Linked DNA regions of Arabidopsis thaliana. The protein of the gene in region 1 interacts with the protein of each later gene in a pairwise test. Each region holds a gene or a part of one and is shown on either strand. Other genes may lie near its edges.

What was found.
Region 2: the proteins of NAC050 (region 1) and AT3G49950 interact in binary tests that used the Arabidopsis thaliana proteins (3 or more experiments, as listed by UniProt).

The regions. Positions count from the first base shown.
Region 1 is NC_003074.8:3,262,062-3,265,993, forward strand, and holds the start of NAC050 (NAC domain containing protein 50), read left to right. Parts: upstream 1-2,286; 5' UTR 2,287-2,348; coding exon 2,349-2,568; intron 2,569-2,758; coding exon 2,759-2,788; intron 2,789-2,869; coding exon 2,870-2,938; intron 2,939-3,042; coding exon 3,043-3,320; intron 3,321-3,411; coding exon 3,412-3,597; intron 3,598-3,740; coding exon 3,741-3,832; intron 3,833-3,932. UniProt on the Arabidopsis thaliana protein: Transcriptional repressor that binds to the motif 5'-(C/T)A(C/A)G-3' in the promoter of target genes. Also binds to the 5'-CTTGNNNNNCAAG-3' consensus sequence in chromatin.
Region 2 is NC_003074.8:18,520,370-18,524,301, reverse strand, and holds AT3G49950 (GRAS family transcription factor), read right to left. Parts: upstream 1,837-3,932; 5' UTR 1,733-1,836; coding exon 500-1,732; 3' UTR 368-499; downstream 1-367. UniProt on the Arabidopsis thaliana protein: Probable transcription factor involved in plant development.

The DNA.
Region 1 (3,932 bases):
TTAGTTAAAGAATGTTTTTTTTTTTTTGGATTGGAAAAAAAAAAAGCTCAAACCTTTTAAGAAAATAAAGCTCATGAAAAGAGCGTGACGGGTCCAACTCTTTTTTTTGGTTAAATTTGCAATTTAAACAGATTACTTGTTCATGTTGACATTGAAATAGCAGGTCGAGAGCGAGAGATCAAAATGCAATGTATTATGCCCTTAATTTATGCTTTTATATATTTTGTTTATTAATGTCACATATCTTATTATGGATATACTTTGCAACGGATCACAAATCTTACCCTGAAATATGCAACCTGTTACCGGAATTGAAATTTCATAACACACTATTCTCAGCTCTTCAAGATTCAGTGTTTCATTCGTGAAGACGAATGCATGTTGTTCTAGTCTCGATACGAGAAACTGCGTTTATGAAAATAAGAAAAAGAAGAATAAATTAGCATGGGCTTGATTTACACCCGTCCGTCACCGAAATGGGCTACAAATAAATCATGGGCTTTTAATATTCTAACTTAGAAGAAATTTGGCCCATTGCTTAAACACGAGGCACAAACCATATATTTTTTTTGAGCCAAAAAAAAAAGTCTTGATATTTTAGCATTTTGTCCTTTTTGGAGACAGTGGTGTCAGATAGCTGACAACCTATATAAATAAATAAATAAAATAGAGTTTTCTTTTACTCTTACTTTCTTTATTAGTTTCATAATAATATGTGTAAAAGTAAGAGTTGGATATTTTTCGTTTTAATTTCTGCCTTCGAATTAGTTACGCATACAAAGCATAAGAGACAAGAGACATAGCGTACCAAAAAAGAAGAAAATAGTGCAAAAATATCATATAGTTTTCTGGTACGCCTCATCAATTCCACCCCCGTACACCATAATTATATAGAATTTCAATATCGAAATGTCGACAGCAACAAAATTCAACATGTCGAATAATATTGTTTTAAATATTCCATTTTACTAGAAGATGAAAAAAAGAGAGAAGAAAGTAACCTTTTGTCTTTGTCACCTTGACTTAAACAGTAATACAAACCCCACAAGTAAATTATTCAAGTTCAAATCGTAGTTAATGTTTATATTTGAGAATTGCAAATGGTTTAAACGAAAACCAAACTACGAATTACAAATTTGAAGAGGACTTGTACTAGAAAATAAATAGAGAAAAGAAGAATAATAAATAGTAACAGAAAATGGGAAAGATGATGATTCGTGTGGACCAAGTCTCTCCTCCCCTTTAGCTTGCCTTATTGGTAAAGTATCCTCCTGCAAGCAAACGTATCTGTCACTCCTTTTTTATTTTCTTTCACCTTCTATCTTATTCTCATTAATTCTTCTTTTTTGGTCAACTTCATGTATAGAAAATAATACCAAAATTTTTTGATATAGTAAAACTATTAGAACTGAATTTCAAACAAAAATAATACAAATTTAAGCAAAAAAATATTAAAAATAAATTTTAAAGAATATTTTTACATATAATAAATATACATAGTTGATACTTTTATATAATTATTAATTTATGATATTAATGAGACCATATATTTACATAGAACATTCAAAATAATTATTATCTTATTAATCTATCGATATATATCACTTTTTATACTAGTTTTTGGAATCTTAATAATTTATTAATTTGTAGAAGTTATTAATTTATAGAGGTTTTACTGTACATGTCAGCATTTAACTTTTGATAAGCACAAAACCATTACATATTTTCCAACCAGATTATTTTCTATTTATCCTAGCGTTTGTAAATCTTTGAACTACAATAATTTATCAAATACAATATAAGATTTTTATACTAAAGATGTATACAATGCATTTAACATTAAAGGAAACAAATAAACTCTAATCTTTTAAAAAAATACTTTACCTTTTAAAAAGAGTTATTAATCACATAAGCAATATTTAATTTTTCATTATTTTTTTCATCATCTGTCTAACATATTACTTTTTAAAAAATATTTATCGTTGGATACTTACTTTTCAGACCACACACTAGGACTAGTGGTTCCTTTATTTTACTGCATAGAACGACAACAAAAAGCTAAGCAGTAACATTTTTTAGGGTTTTATTACTGCAACACTCAAAAATGAGAAATTATTATTAAAATTGAAAATGAAAAATAGTAATCGCAATCCGAAATTACTTTTTTTCTAGCCTTCTAGGAACTCGAAAAGAAAGCAAATTTCTTGCAATTGAAGGTACCTGCTTCTCTTTTTCTGGTTTGTCTGGTTTCATATTAAAAAAAACATTTTGACAACTATATTTCTGGTTTGTCTGAAAAAATTGAGAAGAAAACCTAGAAACAAATACGGTCTTTTTTTTTTCTTTTTATGGGTCGCGAATCTCTGGCTGTTGTGTCCTCGCCGCCATCGGCGACTGCGCCCAGTACTGCTGTGTCGGCTACCTCGCTTGCTCCTGGCTTTCGATTTCATCCGACTGATGAGGAACTCGTGAGCTATTACTTGAAGAGGAAGGTTCTGGGTAAACCTGTACGCTTCGATGCGATTGGAGAGGTAGATATCTACAAGCATGAGCCCTGGGATTTAGCAGGTTCGTTAGGTTTCTTCTTCTTCATTTCTGCTTATCTCTATGATTTGGGGGTTTCTGTGAATTTGATGCTTCTGATTTGGGATTTTTGTCGCCTGGGCTTATTGGTTGTTCCGTCTTCTGGCTCAATTCTGGGAAATGAGTTTAGCTTTTACGTGCTCCGATTCGTTTTCTGGGAAATTTTTTGTTGCAGAGAAGATTCTCTGTTCGTACCTGGCGCTAAGTTTAGGCAATTAGGCTTTAACACTGTGAAGACATTCCATCCAATTGACTTCTTAACTGAAGAAAGTCGAATTTTCTTCAGATTGCTTTAAGAATTTCGTGTTTGCTTGTGCTACAGTTATGTTTGCTTGTGCTACAGTTATGTTTGCTTGTGGATCAGGAAATGAAGTTTGTTGCTTGTGTGTTTGGCTATCTGAAGTGTTCTCAAGTATGATCTGAAAGAAAAAAAACCTTGTGATGTGTTGTGTGTTTCAGTGTTTTCGAAGTTGAAAACTCGGGACCAAGAATGGTACTTCTTCAGTGCGTTAGATAAGAAGTACGGTAATGGTGCTAGGATGAATCGAGCAACTAACAAAGGGTACTGGAAAGCAACTGGAAAAGACAGAGAAATCCGCCGGGATATTCAGTTGCTCGGTATGAAAAAGACGCTTGTTTTCCACAGCGGGCGTGCTCCAGACGGCCTTCGGACTAATTGGGTCATGCACGAGTATCGCCTTGTGGAATATGAAACTGAAACTAACGGAAGCCTGCTGGTATTATGTTGTCCAAAAGAGTTACTTTTGAATTGGGGTTATCTCATTTTGTAAGAATCCTATCTTATCTTACTTCTTTGTCTGGGTGCAGCAGGATGCATATGTGTTGTGCAGAGTGTTTCACAAGAATAACATTGGGCCACCAAGTGGGAACAGATATGCGCCATTCATGGAAGAAGAATGGGCTGATGGTGGAGGAGCTCTGATTCCAGGAATAGACGTTAGGGTCAGGGTAGAGGCTCTACCACAAGCCAATGGAAACAACCAGATGGACCAGGTTTGTACTTTCTTTATACTCAAATGTTTCTTATATGCATAACCTCTGTGATACATCCCTCTAATGTGAATCATCTCTCTTGATTCACAAGATATTATATTTCTTATTGCAAAAGCTCTTTGCTTCTCTAAGTGCTGTTTCAGTGGGCTGATTTACTTAAACTGCACAATTCCATTAAGTTTGCTATCACCTTTTGTAGAACTCAGCTCAACCTTACAGCTTTATCTAATGAAAGGTCTCTCTTGATTCACAAGATATCTAATTTTTCTTTATGGTCCTTTTTCTTTGAGATTTATCCTTTGATTACATGATATTTCAGACTTACAATCTTCGTT
Region 2 (3,932 bases), about 15 Mb from region 1:
GGAAAATATAAGTTGTCTTATCTCCTATTTTCCTTTCGTTTTATTAATGTTTGAATGTTCATTTTGACGATGAGAAGATATTATTGGTTTTTCATTTGTTTTGTTTATGTCTTCATTTTAAGAAGGCAATTGTATCTGATCCTCTCTACTTTGTATCTCCAACATGTTTATTCTCGCTACAAATTTAAATAACTATATACTATTCAATTTTTCCTATTATAATAAGTTTTCACTGTTATCACTAAGCCTATTCACGGAAAAATATCTATGTAAACTAAAAGTGCTTATGAAGATGTAAAATATGTTTAGTCATAATAACGATTATTTTTCAACGTTAGAATGTTTTGAACTAGTACAAAACAATTGACACTAGATTAGAACAAAAAAAAAAGTTAATAAAAAATATTATTAAATTGTAATTAGATCAGAAATTAAAGCAATGCTATTCTACTATATTAGGTATCCAATTAAAACGCTAATTAAATTAAATCAACCTGATTTAAATGGGAACCCAAACGGTAGCAAACACAACACTATGACCTTTCCACGTCAGCACGAGACTCTCGTCGTCGTCTTCCTTCTTCATTCCCCACCCGACAGCGTGCTCCTCCAGCATCGCCTTCACATCCGCCACCGCATCTTCTTTAACCCTAACTCCACCGAACTCAGCCTCTCTCATTCTCTCTATCCACCGTCTCTTCGTCTCCGTCCTCTCCACTCTCTCCGCACCTTCCTTCGCCACCACGTTTTCTATCTTCCAACTTATCTCCGCCTCGTACCACCGTCTCTGCTCACTCATAAACGTGTCCGTCGTATCGAACGGAATCCAGAAGTAGTTAAACGCCGATTTTAACCGGTTAACCAAGTTCTCCGATGTGAGATCTACGTCTTCTTCGATTAGGGTTACGATTCTTGGATTCAAAGATCGGAGTTGTTTCAAGAAAACTGTTCGGAGCGATGATGATGATGAAGTTAGGGGTTCTTCAGGGATGTAACGGAGCATCATGTGACAGTTAACGACGAGAGCTTCGTTGAATGAAGAAGGATAAATCCGTAACTGTTGTAAGAGGGAGGAGAAGCCATCGGAGTAAGTAGAAGGTACGATTGTGAACTCCATTGTAATGTTTCGTGTGGTGGCGAAGTTGACTAGTTTAGATCCGAGTTCTTCGTAGGAGATGTTGATGAATGGTGGGAAGTGGTCGGAGGAAGAGACGACGGTGAGTTTAAGAAGCGGAGGAGGTTTGTTGAGTCGGCTTGCCATGGCGTCTATAAGAGTAGGGATTTGCATACAATGAGTCAAACTTAAGTCAACGATGTGAACCGTTGAGTAACCTTCAACGGCGGTTAAGATCGCGGCGTTGGCTGCAATGAATCCGAACCGGTGCCACGGAGTGAGGTCTACGAAAGCGGCTAACTCCACGACTGAGAAACGATGGAGTTCATCGGCCTGAGGTAGGAAGCTAATGGTGGATGATAGTGTAGGGGTTTTGGAGACGGCGCGTGAGAGCAACGCGCGGAGGAATGCGGATGTAAGACGTTGGGTGGAGTCACCGTCTGGTGGAGCGATGTTGTTGAGGACCCAGAGGATTTGGTGAGTTAATGCAGCGTCGTTGGAGTCTATGGCGGTGGCGCAGTGAAGGAGGAGCTGTTCCATGAAGTTAGCGTCGCCGCAGCCACGTAAGGGTTTGGGAGAAGGGAATCGGGTCGGGTTGAGAATCCGGGTTTTGGTCATTTGAGTCTGGTTTTAGAGAGAAATGTACGTTTAATCTTGTTATTTTTGTGACACAAGAGGAAACAAAAAGAACAAAAAAAGAGTATAGTAGGGTGGAGACAATGACATGTCCATGATTTTTACGTAAAAGTATTCTGAAAAGTGAAAAATAGAGTGAAAGGAGACAAAGGAGAGGGATGAGGAAAGAAAGAGACGAGACAATAGAGAGAGTCGTGTAAGTATGTCGTAACCTTATCATTGGGAAACGCATCGCTTTGGTCGCTTGTGTTGTGTAAGACAAATATTTGCAAGATCAGCTTTTTTCAATGTATAGAAGATGTGCATATTGCATATGTGTTTATGTATCTCTATACATGTGCAATATGTCTTAAATAGCTAAAATAAGGAATCTTTAGTTAGGTCGGAGGGTGCATTTTATCTCCTATTTAGAGAAAGCATTACATTTTTTTAGTATGATTCACTCGAGTTATTGTAACATAAATATGAACTAGAAGCTGATATTTTTGTTATAGAAAGTATGTATGTGAAGGGGGTGCTTAAAGGTGGGTGACATGTGAAGTGGCAGGTTTGTATTTATGTATATATGTACGGCCGATCAATTTGTCTTCTAGGTGACGATTATTCTCTTTCGCCGCTCTATCGCATTCATCAATAAATCACTGCATACACTTTGGAACAAAAAATAATTTAAATTTATACCTCCATGAATTTGGTCCGTTTGTATGTAGCATTTGGACGTTATTTATTTTATTAAACTCAAAATATGTTTTGAGTCTTCAGATATAATTAAGAAGAAGATTTATTGGCCTTATCTCTTGAGATATATATAAGTCATATAACAATAGACTGATAAAGAAAAGTTATATAGCATTAGACTAAACAAAATGAAAACATGGACTAAACAATCAAACGGCTCCTATGTAGGGATAGGATAAGTATAGTGACAAATCTCATTATCATTATCAGTTTTTTTTCTATGCCTTTGGAAGTAGGTTCATTGCGTATTGGGTATTTTAGGCGCAATATGAAAGCGCTCACAAGGCATGATATTTTCAAGAAAATTGGTTGAGAGATCAAGTACCATCACCTCCAGGAGACATAGACGTTGGGCAGCCTAATGATGTTGTCGCTGTGATGAATTTAAACGAGCTCCATCATAGTTATTGTTGATAGAGATCTAAAATTCCTTCTGGTTCATCGGGATTTTGCCTCGCAAACCTCTGGGCGCACTATAAGGGTTCACAGAGTTGGCTCATAATCAGAATTTTTTCTGTTGATTTTTGCGCATGAAACAACGTGAATAACTCCTCAACGATATTAGCAGCCATCACAAACATCAGAGTATATGCCATTAGCCTCTCCTCTCATAACCATATATGAAATAAACAAATAAGCATACTAATCTCTAAACCAAATTGAACAGAGACATAAAAAACAGAAGACTCATGAATCTTGACCACGTTCCGAGAAATGTCCGTAGATCGATTATGAAAACAAGAGTAGAAATCCCTAGCTAGTTATATTAGGTAGACTTGATAACGCATAACACTTTATTTATTCTGCTTCACCTTTTCGCTAACACTATACACTTTATAGTCCAAGTTACCTTCACGTCTTCTCCTTCACGAACACGTATATGTTTCTCTGTTTCATAAAACTTAAAAACCTACTTGAAACCTAAGGTCTTTCCGTAAAGTCTATTGGGCTTCATCAAAATAATACAAAGTGAAAATTTCCGGCCCCATGGTTTCAAGCCCATTTCAATTACTTGGGGGGGGGGGGGGGGGGAGGGGGGTATTGGAGCAATGAATTTGACGGAATTTATTAGAATGTTGATTCTAGTGTTATTCAATTAGGCATTTTATAAATTCTTTTAAATTCTAGTATTATTCAGTTTCTCAATTTCTTAATTCTACTAAATTCAAGTGTTATTCAATATTTTGTAATTTTTCATGACAACGTCATTTGTCAAGAATTTAATAAAAATATTAGTGCAAAATGCACAAAACAAATTCTTACCTTTTAAGTTGTGATTTGGATGAAAATATATAAGGGGCCTCAAATTGTCGTATAAGGGCATGTTCGATCTAGTGGAAAGGCTAATAAGCTGCTAATTTCCCCTTTTGCACGATTAATAAGCCTATTGTTGGTATTGTTGATGTTCCTAATTCTTGTCTTCAAGTACTCTCCAAACTTTCAA